4 linked regions of the Saccharomyces cerevisiae S288C genome follow. Changing the gene in region 1 together with any one later gene gives a genetic interaction. Each region holds a gene or a part of one and is shown in the gene's direction. Other genes may lie near its edges. The genes, in order: ARX1, NUP42, POM34 and ECM1.

Region 1 (6,372 bases):
GGCAAGTCAATGGTTTTCATGGCAAGATCAAGACAGGAAAGAGATCTTTGGGTAATGTCTATTTACTATGAACTTGAAAGACTAAGAAGAACTGCGTCCACTTCAAATTCACGGAATCAAACTATGTAACAATATGTAGTTACGAAACGTTTGGCGGGATGCTTTCTTTTTATTATTGCATAAAATTTAGTGTATACTCTATATATAATCCATATGGAGGGGACAGTTGTTATTACCGCTCTCTATAAGACTCGAGAATGAACTGCGTCTGGTTATGCCATCGATTCCTTTATCCATATCACTAAGTAATAATACTGGCATATCATTTTCATTTTCATTTTCATTAGTACCTTCCTCCTCAGAATGAAGTGAAAATCTAATATTAGGAATCAGAGCTGGCTGTACTGAAGAAGCGACAGTTTCTAAGTTTTCTATATTGCTATGTTCACCCTCAGTGAGAAGGTTTCTGTCATTCACCATATTTGCGGTAGCATTTTCATTATCAAATGGAGAATCAATATGAATAGTAGTTGTAGATTCAGCATCCGACAGTGATCCTGAACTATTATCAAGTTCATTATCGGTCGAATCATCATTATCCTCTTCGTCATCGTCATCATGTTCATCAAAACTTAGACCGAAACTGTAGCAAAGAGTTTCTAAAACAAAAGTCCAGGAGCTGGCCTCGACTAGTTCATCAATTTTATCACTGTAGTCAACGTTCAAATAGCCCACCTTAATCTTCAATTCATTGGGCCTTCTTCTTCCAAAACTTGTAAAGCATCTGTAATCTTGAAATAGTATGGATTTTTTTGCTTCCATATTACTATTTGATACAGCAACAATACCCAAATGTTCATGAATATTTTCGGGATATAGAGTATTTTTCAACCAAATAGGTGAAAATTGTGTCGAGGAACTCTTTGATTTGAGATTTGAGATGGAATCTAGTGAATCTATCTTGTGTAATACCGATCCATAGTCCAGAACATAATTATTTCGATCAACGAAACAAAACTGCAAACGCGCAAATTTAATGGTTAAAGCTTTTAGACTGTTATAAACAACAATTAAACTGTCTTCTTCCTTCAATTTCGTAAAATCGATCTGTAAGATTATTGCCAAATTATCAGGTTTTTCTCGTTTAAGGGAAAGAATTGAGCTTATCGTGGTTAGAACAGATTGTATACTGTCGACAGTACTCTGCCTAGAACATTCTCCTGAATTTAAGGTGAATCCCCTCCTTATGATTACAGTATCATTATCGTGCACATTTCCAACTTCAACAACTTTGTTAGGATTGATTAAACCTAGAAAGGTACTCGTCTCGTGCCTACCATTACCAACATCTTTTGAAAAGTTCTTTATAATGGGAAGAATAGGCAGGGTCGAAGTGATATTGTCCTCATTGAATACAAAATCCTGATTCAATATACCTGATATCCATTTCTGTACAGTTGTGCTTTCGTCAGAATTTATATTCTGAACAATGTAAAGATCTGATAAATCGGCGCAATGTTGTTTATTTAAGGTGCATTTGAGTACTGAAGCTTCGAGTGTAGTCATTCTCAAGTTGGCAATAGGTGTAAATACTTCTAAATTCTTTAGTCTAATTTCCAAAACATCAACATCGTTATCCACTTCTGCTATTACAAATGCGTCTTCAAATAAGAAACACCAGCATTGTATATATCTCTGACCATCTTTGGAAATCATCAATTTGTCTACCAACCTTAGTAATCCATAGTCCCCGTCTATTCTCCAATCCTGCAATTCTTCCTGGAAATTGTTCAAAAGAATTTGAATAAAATATGACCTTAACAGCGGCAACGTTGTTTTGGTTTCGTCATCCTTTGCTCTTACCGAATTGGAAACAGCAGAAATAGAATCATTAGCTGACAACGCTACAGAGGTGTCTGCTAAGATAGAGTTTGCTCCGGACGGAATTCTTCTGTGCCCCAGGGGTGAATGTAAAAATGTATAGTTTGATTTTTTTTGTGGAATTTGGTTTCTTTCCTTGGGGGGTGCAGCCAATATGAGATTTGGGTTTAGACTTGGAGCTTGAGAATATATCGTTTGTCTTTCAACAGGTGTATAGGATAACCCAAAAGGAGGCAAGAGTGGTGAATAAGGAGGAAAGCGGGACTGAGGTGTGATTGATAACTCAGAATCAGGAATCTTATGAATCAAAAAATCAGAAATTAGAATATCCTTTAGTTCATCATTTTCTGGAATGCATTGAACGGCTTTGTTAGTATCTTTTTTACATTTGGTACAAAAAGGAAATAGCGCACGAACGTCTGCCTTTGAAGTGGTGCCAAAAGAGATAATAAGACATTCTTGGTGACTTAAGTGGCCACATGCAAGCTCTATAATTTTCTCTCCCTTTCTTCTGTTAGAAATAGGCTCGTCACATAACGTACAAGAAGCATTCAAAAAGGATTTTTTAATAGAGGTTCTTTGTATTGGATAGCCAAATGGAGCGACCTTGGGTGGTATATTATCTGATAAATTTTCGGCCCTTGGGGGCTCATTTGCTCGGGATAGGTTACTATTACTTGCGTGAAAGAGATTGGAATTAGGTCTTGGCAAAGACGATGTTCTGTGAGGGTGTTGTGGCAAATAATCAGTGGAAACCGTAGAAGGTGTATTCATTAGGTTACCGTCTTCATTGCCAGAAGAGTTTGAAGAAGTGACCCTAGATTTGGGTGAGAACGAAAATGTAGAGGAGGAAATAGGAGAAGGTGAGAATCTTTTCTTTTTAGCACTACTTCTTTGGAACCTGGCTAACTTTTCCGTCCATTTTTTTCCTCTTGACAATGGGGATAGAGTACTGGGCTTCTCTAGCTCTATTATTTGGTTGGGAGTTCTCGACAAGGTACCACTATATTGTGTCGAGCTACCAAAATTGTGAAAAGGGGAAACTATATTGTCTGTAGGAGTTTCCATCATTTAAAAGTTGTTTCCGCTGTATCCTGTATCTTCCTTTTTTAGCGCGGATGCTAGATGGGTTAAAACAGTTTTAAAATATTTTCAAATTACTTTTTTATGCCTTTCTTTTGTCGTCAACTTTTCGAGGAAATTCTCGGTATTTTCTTTAGCTACTATCGCCTTTCATATTTTGATGCAGAAAAGTACATGATGTGTAAATTAACAAGCTACATATCGCCGCACCCAAAAAAAAAAAAGAAAAGAAGGGAAATTGTTCAAAATTATGACAGGTTACCTATGGACATGTGTCGTCTAATCACTACCTTTATATTTTTTAATTAATTCATGTGCACAGGCCTGCTTTCTACTATTGAGCAATACGCCTTCTAAATGACTCTCCTACTTCAAAAATGTATCAGAGTAGAACTGCGGAAAGATCCAATATTTAACGCTTCTTCTTCACTCGAAATATTTCTGTCAGTTTTAGAATCTGTTATATATCCCTTTAAAGGAAACTTGATACTTCTAGATTTTCATCTTGTCGATGTTCAAACAACGTGTTATCAGAGAAACAGCTCTATGAGAAATCAGCTGATGTCAGTATTCTGTCAGTCACTTCGTGAATTTACATTGACTGCTCTTTCGTGCAATTCATACTGTATTATTATAGTTGCAACTAGATGGCAAAAAATTGATAATGCCCTAAAAATGACAGGCCGGTAACCCTAAGCTTTTTTTTACCCGGAGAGGGTCATGCCTCTGTGAAGCTTTTTTTGCTTTCTGAAAAAATTTTACCGAAGTAAAGAAAAATTTCAGCAGAAGAGATGAGATGAGCTAAAGCATCGTGTTATTCAAAATACTTTTAAGAAAAAACCCGACCCGACTAATATTGCTAAAACTATCATGGCTCTAGCTATCTCCCACGAGGATACTCAGATTTTGCTAAAGGACAAAAATATTCTACAGGAATCGGTCTTGAACAAATACAGAACTGCTGGACAAATCGCACAAACTGCTTTGAAATATGTTACTTCTTTGATCAATGATTCATATCACTCTAAGACCACACAGCGCCAATTAACCGTGCCAGAGCTATGTTTGCTTACCGATTCTTTTATTTTGACCCGGTTGGAACAATATTATAAAAACAAAGTTAATGAAAGAGGTATTGCCATTCCAACCACTATTGATATCGACCAAATTTCTGGTGGATGGTGCCCCGAAATAGATGATACTCAAAATTTGTTAAACTGGAATAAGGGGAAAGACTCCACTTTTGCATCATCTGTCACTGGGACTTTGAGACCGGGGGATTTAGTCAAGATTACACTAGGTGTTCATATTGATGGTTACACCTCTGAAGTTTCTCATACTATGGTTATTTACCCCGTTGATGAAACCAAACCTATTCTTCAACCCACTGGGCCACTACTAGGTGGTAAAGCGGATGCTGTAGCTGCTGCTCACATTGCTATGGAAACAGTTGTTGCTTTATTAGCCTGTGCTCTGACTCCAGAAAAGCTTCCTGCCTCACTGGGAGGAACTTCAAGTGGTATCACAGGCCAATTGATTAGAACTATAGTGGATACTATTGCCAGATCTTATAACTGTGGCGTTGTTCCTGGTTCTCGTGTAAGAAGGATTAGAAGATTCCTGGCAGGCCAAAACGAAGGTATTGTTGCCGAAAGGGAATATAAGGGTGTTGTTTGGACAGAGTCCCATCAAGAAGCAGATTTGCTATCTAATACTGATGCCAAGGATTTAACAGTGGTAGATCGTGGACAATCGACTCCATTCACTAATGTTTCTGCTATTCCAAGTGATGATTTCGTTGTTCAATCAGGTGAAGTGTATTTAATTGATTTGAAAATGGCATCTTTGGAGCATTGTACCAAAAAGGGTTTAGTAACTTTAGAAACCGTTGACTCTTACACAGGTAAATCTCATAAGGCTGGAGAATTGATTGCAAGACCCGGTGCATATGTTAGAGATTTTGCTCAAACCCATATTCTTAAATTAAAAACTTCTAGACAATTATTAACTAAAATCGATAAACAAGGCGTTTATCCATTCAAGTTATCTCATTTATCTTCTAACTTTCCTTTCGTTCACGAAAATGAAGAAGAACTCCAAAGCTTAAAGAAAGATTTGAAATCATTTAGACTTGGGATGAGTGAGATTTCCAACAACTACTTATGTGTGGAAAGTCCAATACAAATTGCTAGATGGGTTCCATGGGACCATATTTTAAAGGCTACCAATCCAAACGGTAATTTAAGTTATGATGCAACCTCTACATTAACATTACCTGGGCATGAGTTACCTTTACCAAAATTGGGTGTTTCAGCCATCAAGCTTAAATCCTTAATGAATTCAACCAAGGAATCGATTTCTTTACCAGTTGCTCGTGAATGTAATACCATCGTATTATGTGACTCTAGTGTAAGTACAACGGACAGACCCGAATTATTGAGATTAACTGGTGGTTCTAAGACCTGTCAACCGAGCTGGATTCACTCTCAGCACGAATTAAATCCACAAGATTCAATTGTTCAAGGGATCTTTCAATTAGCTACTTTGGCCAAGGATAAGAGGTTCGGTCTATTATTAAAGGAAACGCAGCCAATGAAGCAGAAGAGTGTTGAGACATCAAATGGCGGAGTTGAAGAAACCATGAAAATGTAGGAAACTTCATCATTTCTAAAGCTAGTATATAAATAATATAAGTATATCATAAAATGTAAAATAGAATATTATAAAAAAAGTCAACCTAGCTGTACTAAAACCGCTTGGTTCATTTGCTCAGAATCTTGCATTATAATTACATTTTATTTGCTATACAGATGAGATGGAAGATTAAATATCTCACGCCTGTTTCGCCATGCTTTTGTAACACCGGCGGATTGAGAGACATGGGCTTCTAATATTAAATCATGTCATCGTCATCGTCGATGTCATCATCACCAATTGACAAAGATGAGCCGGGTGCTCTGAAGTTAGCAGGTTCTTCCACAAACTGGGAAAAATGAAAAACAATAAAGGCAACCCCTAAAATAAAAGTAAACATTCCCGCCAATATGTTGTAGATACCGCCGAAGCTGATTATCAGACTTAGTAAAATATAAGATAAACCCCTTCCAAGAAAACTAAAGTAAAAGGAAGCATACCTGTAAAGATTTGACGGAACCTTGAACTCCAGATAGACGATAGGTACGGAGAGTGCCAGTCCGTAAACTGCCAAGAGGAAGACGTTTAAATTGGTGAAAATATACGTCAATTGTGAAAGGGCAGCAATAATGTCTATGCAGCCAATTGATATATTTGCAATCTTGAAGAATTTTGGAGGAATAACTGACATCCTTTCGTTTGTGATCCCTTGTGGTTATTTGACTTTGTTTATTGTCCTCTCTTGTAAGACATACATATTAATGGTCATAGTTT
Region 2 (6,143 bases), 190 kb from region 1:
ATATTATAGAAAGAATAAAATTTTCCTATAAAAAGAAGGGAAGTATTGATGGCCACTATGGTGTCTCAGAGTGGCAAGAAAATACCAGAGTTGCACGTTAGGCTGATAAATGTTGACCTCTATATTGATAAAAGGTCGCACACCTGTTCTTGCAAGCAGAAATTTATTAGCAGCTCTCTCGAATTGCAACCATATTACTTGGGCTGTTTCAAGAAGATTATACAATGATGGAAACAGAGATCAAAGAAATTTTGGTAGGAATCAGAGAAACAACAACAGTAACAGGTATAGAAACTCCCGTTTCAATTCTCGCCCAAGGACAAGGTCTAGAGAAGACGATGATGAAGTGCACTTTGATAAGACCACTTTTTCCAAACTAATTCACGTCCCAAAAGAAGATAATAGTAAAGAAGTAACGCTGGACTCTTTACTGGAGGAAGGAGTCCTTGATAAAGAAATACATAAAGCCATTACCAGGATGGAATTTCCCGGTTTAACTCCTGTACAGCAAAAGACTATCAAACCAATATTATCCAGTGAAGACCATGATGTTATCGCAAGAGCTAAAACCGGTACAGGTAAGACATTTGCCTTCTTGATTCCAATTTTCCAGCATTTGATAAATACGAAGTTCGATTCTCAATATATGGTAAAAGCTGTTATTGTCGCACCAACAAGAGATTTGGCCTTGCAAATCGAAGCAGAGGTGAAAAAAATCCACGATATGAATTATGGCTTGAAAAAGTACGCTTGTGTCTCTTTAGTTGGTGGTACTGACTTCAGGGCAGCTATGAATAAAATGAATAAGTTGAGACCAAACATTGTAATTGCCACTCCAGGGAGATTGATTGATGTTTTGGAAAAATACTCCAACAAATTTTTTAGGTTCGTAGATTACAAAGTGCTAGATGAAGCTGACAGATTGCTAGAAATTGGATTCAGGGATGATTTAGAAACTATTTCTGGTATTTTAAATGAAAAGAACTCCAAATCAGCCGATAATATCAAGACTTTGTTGTTCTCTGCTACTCTGGACGACAAAGTACAAAAGTTGGCAAACAATATCATGAATAAAAAAGAATGTCTCTTTTTAGACACAGTAGATAAGAATGAACCTGAAGCACATGAAAGAATTGATCAGTCTGTCGTCATTTCAGAAAAGTTTGCCAATAGTATATTTGCTGCTGTGGAGCATATAAAGAAACAAATAAAGGAAAGAGATTCTAATTACAAAGCCATTATTTTTGCACCAACTGTTAAATTCACATCCTTTTTGTGCAGTATTTTAAAGAATGAATTTAAGAAAGATTTACCAATTTTGGAATTTCATGGTAAAATTACTCAAAATAAAAGAACAAGTTTAGTTAAAAGATTCAAAAAAGATGAATCCGGTATTTTGGTTTGTACGGATGTGGGAGCCCGTGGTATGGATTTCCCAAACGTCCACGAAGTTTTGCAAATTGGTGTTCCATCTGAGTTGGCTAATTATATTCATAGAATTGGTAGAACAGCCAGAAGTGGGAAAGAAGGATCTTCTGTGCTATTCATTTGTAAAGATGAATTGCCATTTGTTAGAGAGTTGGAAGATGCAAAAAATATAGTCATTGCCAAACAAGAAAAATATGAGCCCAGTGAAGAAATAAAATCTGAGGTCCTAGAGGCAGTGACCGAAGAACCGGAAGACATATCAGATATTGTAATAAGTTTAATCTCATCCTACAGATCCTGTATCAAGGAATACAGGTTTTCTGAAAGGCGCATACTTCCTGAAATTGCTTCCACTTATGGTGTACTGTTAAATGATCCTCAATTAAAGATTCCAGTATCCAGAAGGTTTTTAGATAAATTAGGTTTGAGCCGTAGTCCAATTGGTAAGGCAATGTTTGAAATTAGAGACTATAGTAGTAGAGATGGAAATAACAAGTCCTACGATTATGATGATGATTCAGAAATTTCTTTCAGAGGCAACAAAAACTATAATAATAGGAGCCAAAATAGAGATTACGATGACGAACCGTTTAGACGCAGCAACAACAATAGACGCTCATTCTCCCGTAGTAATGATAAAAATAATTACTCCAGTAGAAACAGCAACATATATTAGAAAAGATAAAAAAGGAGGACCAAGAGATGTGGGTTGTATTTTAAATAACAATTCCTCTATTAAGACGCCTGTATTTTAGACCCCATCTTGATTCAATACTTTCACGTGTAAATACCTAGTATATAAATATTAAACAAAAATTTTTTTTCTTCTCCTATTCTCTTAAAATGATAACTATACGAAGATCCTACTGGTATATTTATTCGTCAATGCTTATTTACGACCGGTACCTCCATTCTTACTTTCGCTCTTCCTCCTCTCAAAGGAAAAGTAATTCTAACATTGTAATTCTTATTTAAACGGATGGAAGAAAGCTTTTGAGAATTTACTTGAAAAGTCAGGGTGTCTTAGGCGATTGATCACGGACATAGCCATATTACGAAAACTTCATTCTGAATATTGCCAACGAGACAATCGTGGGCTTGGTAATCGTTGAAAAATTTTCACATATTTTATGAACAGCTGAGCCTATTAACAATGAAAATAGTCTATACGATAGTCCAGAACTGAATAACAGTGTCAATCACTTTTTTTTTTATGATTAAATCCTAGTTAAAGTGCCGCTCTGCGAAAGAAAAATCAATAAATACCATTTGTTAGTGATCTAGCAATAATATCAATGACATCTTGTCTTATCTTAAAAATAAACAAAAAATTCTTTACAGTGTACTGAGCATTAATCTGGCTACGGCCTGGAGGGAAATTATGTCTTATACGAATTTTGCTCCGGCAATTCTATTTACGCTGTTTAGCTTATCATGCGATTTCAACCTTCTTTATATAGTAAATTAGCTTCGAAATAAAAGTATTCGCGAGAGGACAAGACATGAAACCTAAACCACGACGCTGAAGGTAACGACATCATAATACGTTTCAAAGGGCTAACCTTAATATACTGACATCTAGAAATATATTAATTCTGCATATCAAGAAACACGCCGACTGAGGGTGCAAGGTATTTGAAAAAAAATAGTGAATCAATAGATGAGCGCACAATGTTTAAAGTACTATAACACTGAACTGTTGTACTTTAACGCAAAAGCTCATCAAGCTATCATTAAATTTCGACCCGAGCAACGACTCAACTGTAATGTCAGCTTTCGGTAACCCATTCACGTCGGGTGCTAAGCCTAATCTTTCTAATACAAGTGGTATCAACCCTTTCACAAATAATGCTGCTAGTACCAATAACATGGGAGGAAGTGCATTTGGAAGACCTAGTTTTGGAACAGCAAACACAATGACAGGAGGAACCACCACTTCAGCATTTGGAATGCCCCAGTTTGGTACCAATACAGGCAATACTGGCAATACGTCAATTAGCGCTTTTGGGAACACCAGTAATGCGGCTAAACCGTCAGCATTTGGAGCACCAGCATTTGGTTCTAGCGCCCCCATCAATGTTAATCCGCCTTCTACTACGTCAGCATTTGGAGCACCGTCATTTGGATCAACAGGTTTTGGTGCTATGGCGGCGACAAGTAATCCTTTTGGTAAAAGTCCTGGCTCAATGGGCTCTGCATTTGGTCAACCAGCTTTTGGAGCGAACAAAACTGCTATCCCTTCTAGTTCGGTTAGTAATAGTAATAACTCCGCATTTGGTGCTGCGTCAAACACGCCCTTGACCACAACTTCTCCTTTTGGTTCACTGCAACAAAACGCATCACAAAATGCATCATCTACATCGTCAGCGTTTGGCAAACCGACTTTCGGCGCAGCTACTAATACCCAGTCGCCATTTGGTACTATTCAAAATACAAGTACAAGCAGTGGGACAGGAGTATCCCCATTTGGCACATTTGGAACTAATAGTAATAACAAATCACCTTTTAGTAATCTACAGAGCGGAGCAGGCGCTGGTTCTTCGCCGTTTGGTACTACAACCTCCAAAGCTAACAACAACAATAACGTGGGCAGTAGCGCATTCGGAACGACGAATAATCAATCTCCTTTTAGCGGAGGTTCTGGGGGCACCTTTGGTTCTGCTTCTAACCTCAATAAAAATACCAATGGCAACTTTCAATCTTCTTTTGGTAATAAAGGGTTTTCATTCGGAATTACACCACAAAACGATGCCAACAAAGTCTCGCAATCGAACCCTTCATTTGGGCAAACAATGCCAAACACAGATCCGAACATAAGTTTGAAGAGCAATGGTAACGCAACCTCTTTTGGATTTGGACAACAACAGATGAATGCTACTAATGTCAACGCTAATACGGCCACCGGAAAAATTAGATTTGTTCAAGGGTTATCTTCTGAAAAGGACGGTATTCTAGAATTGGCCGATCTCGCAGAGGAAACACTGAAAATATTCAGAGCAAACAAGTTTGAACTAGGCCTTGTCCCTGATATACCTCCACCACCTGCATTGGTTGCATAGTAAGGTCAAAGAAAAACATACAAAATGGTAACTTAAACAATATATATGAATATATATATATATCTAATGAAAAATGCATTAATTTTATCTCCAACCTTTTTTGGTAGGACAAATACTTTCTATAATAATGAGGTAACATGCTGACAATCTCCCAGTACAACTAGGTCTACAAATTTCAAAGAGTCTAGCACATTCTTAGGCGGCATACTGGTGTTTAAATATAACACAATACCCCTGTTTGCATGGACTTTGGCCGCAAACTGCCTGCAAATATTTTTCACTCCGGGAATCTTCAAACTCGTTCCAACAATAATCAAACAATCAATTCTTTTCTTTAAGTCATTATTGGCAATTTCACCGATAAAATCACCTTCAGGGTGGACCTCATTGTATAAAATTACTCTTGGACGCAACTTGCCCACACCAGTAGATCTTAAGCCTGCCATTTTTCTAACTGTTTCATATTCTTCACATTGTGGACATGACGGTATGATTTCAGTCCGAGAATCAAATTTGTCGTCGCATTTGAACAGTTCAGGGTCAAAAGGTTTGATATTCAGACATTTATTGCATTCCATGTGTTTTATGCTTCCGTGTAATTGTACTGTACTGGGTATTGGCTTCGCCAGAGGCACATTAGTTGATAAATGAGGTAATTGTGTATCTAAACCGTCAATATTCTGCGTGTACAGTCTCAATAGCCTGCCATCCCTAGCAAACTCATTGAGCATTTCATGAAATTTTGTAGGTTGGCAATTCTTGGATAATCTGAACAATGACACCATTAACTGATTAAATTTCAAACTCATTGATTCGTCGCCATACACACGATTGTAGTCAAACAAATCTTTCCCAGAGCCGCCGTTCACAGTAGAGAAAATCCCTTCACTGGATCTAAAATCCGGTATACCAGCGGCAACAGATATACCTGCCCCGCTGACTACAACCATTCTTTTGCTATAATTCAGAGCATAGCTAATAAAACCGGCGTCGCGGTCCATATGATGGCGTTGGGATTTGGACAAGTGTGTCGAATCCACGTACGCATCCAGATCAAACACAGAGTTTAACTCAGGCCTATATGACAGTCTAGGTTTCCTGTTACGGACACTTTTTTTCAATTGCGGTAGCAATCTTCTAGGCTTCAAATTCTCATTGCAACGGTTTTCTGTTTGAGGCTTCTTTTCCGCCGTACTTGGTGGGGTGATCGGTAGTACAAATTTTTGCTTCATTTTGTGGTTCTGCTTAGTATTATTTACAGTTTTAAAATACAGTTGTTGCTCTAAAGTATGTAATTCCTAAGCTTTTCCACAACCTTGCTTGCTAAATATTCTAACATGTCACTAAAGTTGCTGTTTTCCCCTTTTAGGAAACGTAATTGATTTTTTGCTCACGTGCTCTGCGGGTAATGGAGAGGTTTTTTAAAATTTTTCAATTTTGTTCAAGGAAGAATATGGCAAAACAAAAGATACATCGTGGTGATGAAGAAGAGATGGATTCATTTAAGAGTACGTATTGAAGGCTGTTAAGTTCTGGGCCTGAATATTTTGAACGTTAAAATAATTGAGTAAATATGGTCGCTATCAGTGAAGTCAAAGAAAATCCTGGCGTAAACAGCAGTAATTCTGGTGCAGTTACGAGAACTGCGGCACATAC
Region 3 (5,430 bases), on another chromosome or scaffold:
ATAACCGAAGGGGGGGGTAATAAAAAGAGCCTGCTTTTTATGTTACTGAGAAATCTATATCGTCACATCCAACACGCTCCCCACATCCAACACGTTTCCTGATGAAAGGTCCTCCAAAAGTGGGATAATATCTAGTAACTCATTATCATGAGTATCAGAGAACCAAGAAGATATCGGAACAGCATGTTGCGGATGAAAGATGTAAGAGGCCGGCGAATTATCTAAGATGATTGTTTCGGACAATGGTCTTCCGATCTGCGATAAGTTCTTGATGTAGTTACCTTCGTAGTTATAACAAGCTTCTCTGAATAATCGATGATGGATGGTTCCATTAGGGTCCAACGTATCTAAAAGGGGGTTTGCATACCTCGAAACACTTGCCGTGAACACAACAACTTCGTATAGTTGACTCACCCTGTTCAAGAACTCATCGACGCCTGGCCTCTTAATAACATAGACATTGTGAACTTGATCATCGATTTCGACGGGCAAAACGAAATCAGCTGAATGCATATATTTAAAGGAAGAATGTACCAAAGTTTCGTCTAGATCCAATATCAGACATTTTTTCTGTTGAAATTCTTGCAACTTGGGTGGTAGCAGAGTGTCGTATCCGGGGGCATGGTACTGGTCTGGTTGCAAATGCGTCAGGTCAGAGAAGTCCTCCTCCGTTGTAGGTATCAAGTTTAAATCATTATCAGGACTGCTGGCGACATATTGTGGATTCATATCTTCTTGACCCACCTGATACAGACCCTGTTGTGGTGGCGCCTCGTCATTAATACTGGAATTTCTATCTGCGTCAACGTTATATTCATGAACGACATGGTCTTGCTTTTCTTTTGCTTCGTCATCTTCTTCTTCTTCTTCTCCGGCATTGTTAACCTCCGTCATTTCTACGTCTCCTTCATTATAATCTTCATATTCTTTCTCCTCATCGTACGAGTTGTTGGAGTGATCTCTTGATAAAGGTGCTAGTTTTCCATTGCCGCTATTCCCATTCTCCTGCATTGTCTTGGAACCCGCATTGCTGCCTGAATCGGAACTAGACAAAAGGATCTCCGGTGTGGAATATTGCATCTTGTCGCCGTTTGGAGTAGCCTTCTGCTTACGACCCTGAGTTTGAGCTTTGTTTGAACTGTGCTTACGGTTGCGGTTGCGGTTGTGATTAGTTTCTGGTGGTTGGCGTTGACGATGTGTTTTGGAAGTATCTGAAGAACAGCACAGTATATTTGCTATAAATCCCATCTGATGATGATCTGAAAAAGCTCCCTAAAACAGACAGAGAAGCACTCTTCACTCAGTTTTTATTGCCAAATAAGTGGAAAATTAAAACGAAAGAACTCAAAAGCAGCACTGCGCTCGAAGAAAGATATATCTTAGCTTAAATCCTCTCCAAAAGGGGAGAACGAAGAATATGTGTAAATTAAGCGATGCTTCGTGGGTTTCTTTTACGCGCTGCGAAAAAGATAATCAAATCTCTAAATTTTAGAAATATAAGCCAGTCGGTAGCCCCCACAAGTCAATTATATATGTCAAAGTTCGTGGCACTGTGGACTGCTTTCATAAAGCTTCTCTTTATCTGTTCCTTAGACTGTGAATACTGAGGTTTTCTAAAAAAAAGCAAAAAAAAAAAAAGAGGGTCCAAACCTATTAACTTCAGGGTTTAAGTATCTTTTTTGTAGGTTATAATGTTCTTTTTATAAACCTTTCTCAGGTTATAATAATATTTCTCAGGTCTAATTAGGGCTAAAGTCTAAAGAAAAATGAAAAAAAAAAAAAATGAAATTTGTGCTAATAGTAATAATGATAGAAATAATAACAATTAATAAGATGGTTATGATGAACAAAAAGATTTATATTATAAGAACTTGACAATATACAGACTTTTAATATATCCGCAGAGGCAAAAAAATAATAGAGGGAACTATGAAGATTCAGGCGGGCCAATTGGGCCTGGACGATAATGACGTGCCGGGACCATTGCCGGACACAGACAGCAAACCCTCATCACAATCACAAAATGACACACCAATGTTTAAATTGGGCAACTTTGAAAGTCCTGTGCTCAAGGAGCTATCACGGCGAACGGTAAACAAGGAAATGGAGACGCAGAGAATTATGACAAACGTAATTGCGTTTGCGTTCTGGAACCTGCTGGTGAAGTTCATCAAGTTCTTTTGGAACAACACTCATGTTGGGAGACAGTTTTGCAACCGGCTATCCAGAATCCATCTGTACATGTTGACATTTCACACGTTAAAGAAGGCTAACATCATATATCACACCACGTTCAGTTGGTTGAATGCAGAACTTCTTGACTACTTGTTCCACCTATTAATCTCGCTCAATATACTGTTTTCTCTTTGGAAGCTCTTATCCACCGTCAAAGTAAGTGATTTGAATCTCACTGACAGGCAAAAGAAGCTCCTGGGGGTAGACATGCAATCATCTGTCGATACTGGGTTGCAGCCACAACACCCCCACTACGTATCCACTTCTAAGATCAGCCAAATGGCACAGAACAAAACACATATTCCTCAAACAAATCTCAAAAATCATCCAGCATATCTCTTCAAAGGCTTAGAGACGCCTTTGAAAGCAAGACAAAGGGAAATGGCGGAGGAACAGACGAAACTACAATCTCAATCCTTACACACAAAGAATGTATTTGGCACACTGCAGAGGCATAGCGGTATCAGTAGCACATTAGTGAGCGCTAACAATGACAATAACTCGCCGCATACCCCTGTAACTAGGAAGGGCTACATTCCAAGTAGCAAATATGCATATATGATGAACTCACAGTCCCCAAGGGGGAAAATATAAAAACAGCAAAAAAACATTTAATACTTTCCATAGCTATATATGTTTTCTCTCCTATTTATATTTTACATATGATTAGCGGCAACCATTACCAATAGTTTGGAAATAAGTATCTTAGTCTTTCTAAGGTTTCCTTGGACATAGCCTCTGGTTTGGTAGAGATAGATTTCTTGATGGAACCGCGCAGCCCATCGCCAGTATGCATGAACTCTGGGATTTCCTTGGCCATTGAGACGATGATCTTAGAAGCTAAAATATTTGCATTGCGCCCATTATTCGTCAAATTACCAATAACGGTTTCTACGGTAACAGGTTCTGCCTCATCTCTCCATGCGTCGTAATCGGTAGACATACAAATCATCTGGTAAGGCAGCTCACACTCACGCGCCAATTTGGCTTCTGGAATAACACTCATGTTAATAACATGGCCACCAAACATTCTGTACATCTTGGATTCAGCGCGCGTGGAGAATTGTGGGCCTTCCATACACACAACGGTCATATCCTTGTCGTAATGCAAATGGCACGGTTCTTCGGATTCAGGATTTGTTATCTCGTTCTTGAATTGATAGATATACTCTGCGAATTTTTGAGAGAACGGCTGTCCGAAACCAACGTGACCTACCAAGCCTTCATCGTTGAAATATGAAGAATGTCTTATGCCTTTAGTTCTGTCGATTATTTGCTGTGGTAACACAAAATCTCTAGGCTTTATATGGGGTTGTAAAGACCCCACGGCACTAAAAGAAAGAACGGCTTTACAATTTAAGTTCTTTAAGGCCGCCATGTTTGCTCTAAATGGGACTTTAGTGGGTGGGTATTCGTGGTTAATACCGTGTCTGGCTATGAACGCAACGTGAAAGTGGCTGTTAGTTCCTACGAACTGAGAGATTGTGACAGGAGACGATGTGGTACCCCATGGTGTTACCATGGGTGGAAGCAAAGCGATGGGCTCCAGACAGTCAAGGTTATATAAACCTGTACCACCAATAATCCCTAAATCAACAGTTCCTTCGAATATGCTCGGTAATTCTGAGTTCGTCATAACTTTGCTTAGTTTTAATCTCTTAGCAACAGAAAATGTATTCTTAATCCTGTTCATTTAATCTCATCTCATCTCGAAATAGTTTTTTTTCATTCACACGTTCATCTTTTTTCATTTTTCTTTTTCTTTTTTTTGCTTTCTTTTCACATAATTGACAATAAAGGCGTCCTACAATAGAAGCCTTGGTATAACGTAAAAGCCACAGCAAGCATGGTGTACTTCATTTCCGACTCCATTTGCGTATAGACATGTTTCACAGACGCAAAAGACCTTATAACACCAGAAATTATGGCCATGATGACAAGAAATTCAAATCGCAGTACATCGATATTATGCCAGACTTCAGCCCTTCCGGTCTGTTAGAGCTGGAGTCGAATAACAAAGAAGGTATAGCTTTAAAACATGTGGAGCCGCAGGACGCTATTTCTCCAGATAACTACATGGATATGCTAGGACTGGAGGCGCGAGATAGGACTATGTATGAACTAGTGATATACAGAAAGAATGACAAGGATAAAGGACCGTGGAAAAGATACGATTTGAACGGCAGGAGCTGTTATTTAGTCGGTCGTGAACTGGGCCACAGTCTGGATACAGATCTCGACGATAGAACGGAGATCGTTGTCGCAGACATTGGTATACCCGAAGAAACATCCTCAAAGCAGCACTGCGTCATCCAGTTCAGGAACGTTCGTGGCATTTTGAAATGTTATGTAATGGATTTGGATTCGTCCAATGGGACATGTTTGAACAACGTTGTAATTCCTGGAGCGAGATATATAGAGCTACGAAGTGGTGACGTCCTTACACTTTCAGAATTTGAAGAAGATAACGATTACGAACTCATCTTCATGAATGTATAACCATATATAAGAAACACACTTTCAGTGTGTTTTAATTATTCTTCTTTGAATGCTGCTTTATTGCTGTAGGGCAATTTGCTCCAACTCATCGATTATATCCCATACTATGTCTTCAGCTATCTGTTCTTTGTACAATGTATCCAGTGTGTTAACTTTTGAATTCCCGTCAACACAGTAAGCTGATCGGATTTGATCGAGGTACTCCAATTTATCTTCTTCACTAATTATCCTCGCTGTTCCACCGTTAAAACAGCTGATTGTTGGATAGTAACCCAGTTTGTTATTATTTACGTATTTGTTTCTGAGTATCAATCCCTTCTTTTTCTTTTGTTGCTGCTTTTTCTTTTTGGCACTGGTTGTGTTTTTATCATTGGACTCATCACGAGCTTCACCATGTTGCCAATATCCAAGATAGAACTTTTCATTGTATTGTAACTCACTGAACGGTGGTAACAACGGCTTTAAATTTTCAAATGCTTTGCCTAGGTACTTACCATTTTGAAAGATAGCAAGATATGAATCCTCTAACTGGTAATAGTCTTGCCTTTCCCTCTTATCAGAAGAATAATATTCCGGTTTCGTTGTCTTTACATAGTCCGTTGCCTCAAAGAACAACTGGTTCTTATACCTGATGGCGATTTGATCGCGGACGACGTCGTTATATTCAATATCTTCTAATAGCGCCCTTTGAAATTC
Region 4 (2,931 bases), on another chromosome or scaffold:
CACGTTCTCGTGTTAATCCCGCGGTCTTCTTGTTTTACTAACTTTTCTTTCTCTCATAGCATTCTCTTGACAGTGTTTTATATACATCATATGTACATTTATCGAGCCAATCGAGGGCAGCAGTTTAACATCAAGCCGGATTTGCTCACGCTACTTTGACCCCTTTTCGTTTCGACGGAGAGAAGAAACCGGTGTTTTCCTATCCTTGCCTATTCTTTCCTCCTTACGGGGTCCTAGCCTGTTTCTCTTGATATGATAATAGGTGGAAACGTAGAAAAAAAAATCGACATATAAAAGTGGGGCAGATACTTCGTGTGACAATGGCCAATTCAAGCCCTTTGGGCAGATGTTGCCCTTCTTCTTTCTTAAAAAGTCTTAGTACGATTGACCAAGTCAGAAAAAAAAAAAAAAAGGAACTAAAAAAAGTTTTAATTAATTATGAGAGCTTTGGCATATTTCAAGAAGGGTGATATTCACTTCACTAATGATATCCCTAGGCCAGAAATCCAAACCGACGATGAGGTTATTATCGACGTCTCTTGGTGTGGGATTTGTGGCTCGGATCTTCACGAGTACTTGGATGGTCCAATCTTCATGCCTAAAGATGGAGAGTGCCATAAATTATCCAACGCTGCTTTACCTCTGGCAATGGGCCATGAGATGTCAGGAATTGTTTCCAAGGTTGGTCCTAAAGTGACAAAGGTGAAGGTTGGCGACCACGTGGTCGTTGATGCTGCCAGCAGTTGTGCGGACCTGCATTGCTGGCCACACTCCAAATTTTACAATTCCAAACCATGTGATGCTTGTCAGAGGGGCAGTGAAAATCTATGTACCCACGCCGGTTTTGTAGGACTAGGTGTGATCAGTGGTGGCTTTGCTGAACAAGTCGTAGTCTCTCAACATCACATTATCCCGGTTCCAAAGGAAATTCCTCTAGATGTGGCTGCTTTAGTTGAGCCTCTTTCTGTCACCTGGCATGCTGTTAAGATTTCTGGTTTCAAAAAAGGCAGTTCAGCCTTGGTTCTTGGTGCAGGTCCCATTGGGTTGTGTACCATTTTGGTACTTAAGGGAATGGGGGCTAGTAAAATTGTAGTGTCTGAAATTGCAGAGAGAAGAATAGAAATGGCCAAGAAACTGGGCGTTGAGGTGTTCAATCCCTCCAAGCACGGTCATAAATCTATAGAGATACTACGTGGTTTGACCAAGAGCCATGATGGGTTTGATTACAGTTATGATTGTTCTGGTATTCAAGTTACTTTCGAAACCTCTTTGAAGGCATTAACATTCAAGGGGACAGCCACCAACATTGCAGTTTGGGGTCCAAAACCTGTCCCATTCCAACCAATGGATGTGACTCTCCAAGAGAAAGTTATGACTGGTTCGATCGGCTATGTTGTCGAAGACTTCGAAGAAGTTGTTCGTGCCATCCACAACGGAGACATCGCCATGGAAGATTGTAAGCAACTAATCACTGGTAAGCAAAGGATTGAGGACGGTTGGGAAAAGGGATTCCAAGAGTTGATGGATCACAAGGAATCCAACGTTAAGATTCTATTGACGCCTAACAATCACGGTGAAATGAAGTAATGACAAAATAATATTTGGGGCCCCTCGCGGCTCATTTGTAGTATCTAAGATTATGTATTTTCTTTTATAATATTTGTTGTTATGAAACAGACAGAAGTAAGTTTCTGCGACTATATTATTTTTTTTTTTCTTCTTTTTTTTTCCTTTATTCAACTTGGCGATGAGCTGAAAATTTTTTTGGTTAAGGACCCTTTAGAAGTATTGAATGTGGGAACAAAGACGACAAAAGGTAGTTTTTTCCTTGACTATACTGGTAAGATATCGTCTAAAACAAAGCATGGCCAAGAAAATATCAAAGAATTCAAGAGCTGCTAGACAATCGGATGCTCTTGAACCAGAGGTAAAGGATTTAAGTGAACTACCTAGAGCTGAAAAAACCGATTTGACTAATATTTTGATTAGAACAGCAGCCAAGAATGAGGCATTGCTGGAAGCAAAGATATCTAAGAAAGCCAATAAAAGTAAGAGGGGCAAGAAGTTAAATAAAAAGGCTCTGGAAGACAAACTGGCCAACTCTATTTCATCCATGGACAGGGATCGTTTAGTGAAGGCCTTGAATTTTACCAATCGTCTGGACGGTAAAATTGCCAAGTCCATTTCTCGTGCCAAGTACATTCAAAATACAAGAAAGGCTGGCTGGGATAGCACCAATGAGACTATAAAAAAAGAGCTGGCTTTTTTGAACGGAGGGTTGTCTGTGCAGGCAAAAAGTGCTAGTGAAGGTAATGCTGAAAAGGAAGATGAGGAGATCCCAGAAGTTTTTGACTCTTTAGCAGAGGATAACACAGTGCAGAAGACTCCTACAAATAGATTCGGTGTCCTGCCAGACGATGTTGAAGAATAGAAAATTTTCATATGAAAGGTCCTAGGAATACACGATTCTTGTACGCATTCTTCTTTTTTCTATCTTCTTTCATTCTTTGTACATTAGATAACATGGTTTTAGCTTAGTTTTATTTTATTTTTTATATATCTGGATGTATACTATTATTGAAAAACTTCATTAATAGTTACAACTTTTTCAATATCAAGTTGATTAAGAAAAAGAAAATTATTATGGGTTAGCTGAAAACCGTGTGATGCATGTCGTTTAAGGATTGTGTAAAAAAGTGAACGGCAACGCATTTCTAATATAGATAACGGCCACACAAAGTAGTACTATGAAATTTTCTGCGTATTTATGGTGGCTGTTTTTGAATCTAGCGTTGGTGAAAGGCACTTCATTGCTATCCAACGTTACATTAGCGGAAGATTCTTTCTGGGAGCATTTTCAGGCTTACACTAATACAAAGCATTTAAACCAAGAGTGGATCACAAGTGAAGCCGTCAACAATGAAGGCTCTA

What was found.
Region 2: mutations in ARX1 (region 1) and NUP42 impair growth when combined (synthetic growth defect), as found in Saccharomyces cerevisiae (5 studies listed by BioGRID, with this or other methods).
Region 3: mutations in ARX1 (region 1) and POM34 together harm fitness more than expected from each alone (negative genetic interaction), as found in Saccharomyces cerevisiae (6 studies listed by BioGRID, with this or other methods).
Region 4: mutations in ARX1 (region 1) and ECM1 together harm fitness more than expected from each alone (negative genetic interaction), as found in Saccharomyces cerevisiae (5 studies listed by BioGRID, with this or other methods).

The regions. Positions count from the first base shown.
Region 1 is NC_001136.10:654,930-661,301, reverse strand, and holds ARX1 (putative hydrolase), read left to right. Parts: upstream 1-3,834; coding exon 3,835-5,616; downstream 5,617-6,372. Other genes in the region: SPO71 (Spo71p), read left to right, coding at 1-129; STE5 (Ste5p), read right to left, coding at 199-2,952; YDR102C (uncharacterized protein), read left to right, coding at 3,322-3,654; TVP15 (Tvp15p), read right to left, coding at 5,858-6,289. UniProt on the Saccharomyces cerevisiae protein: Probable metalloprotease involved in proper assembly of pre-ribosomal particles during the biogenesis of the 60S ribosomal subunit. Accompanies the pre-60S particles to the cytoplasm.
Region 2 is NC_001136.10:841,913-848,055, reverse strand, and holds NUP42 (FG-nucleoporin NUP42), read left to right. Parts: upstream 1-3,194; coding exon 3,195-4,487; downstream 4,488-6,143. Other genes in the region: MSS116 (ATP-dependent RNA helicase), read left to right, coding at 110-2,104; NAD-dependent histone deacetylase HST4, read right to left, coding at 4,607-5,719; RVB1 (RuvB family ATP-dependent DNA helicase pontin), read left to right, coding at 6,061-6,143. UniProt on the Saccharomyces cerevisiae protein: Functions as a component of the nuclear pore complex (NPC).
Region 3 is NC_001144.5:176,106-181,535, reverse strand, and holds POM34 (Pom34p), read left to right. Parts: upstream 1-1,929; coding exon 1,930-2,829; downstream 2,830-5,430. Other genes in the region: PSR2 (putative phosphatase), read right to left, coding at 55-1,248; MEU1 (S-methyl-5-thioadenosine phosphorylase), read right to left, coding at 2,915-3,928; PML1 (Pml1p), read left to right, coding at 4,120-4,734; BRE2 (Bre2p), read right to left, coding at 4,792-5,430. UniProt on the Saccharomyces cerevisiae protein: Functions as a component of the nuclear pore complex (NPC).
Region 4 is NC_001133.9:34,717-37,647, forward strand, and holds ECM1 (Ecm1p), read left to right. Parts: upstream 1-1,792; coding exon 1,793-2,431; downstream 2,432-2,931. Other genes in the region: BDH1 ((R,R)-butanediol dehydrogenase), read left to right, coding at 439-1,587; CNE1 (calnexin), read left to right, coding at 2,748-2,931. UniProt on the Saccharomyces cerevisiae protein: Pre-ribosomal factor involved in 60S ribosomal protein subunit export from the nucleus.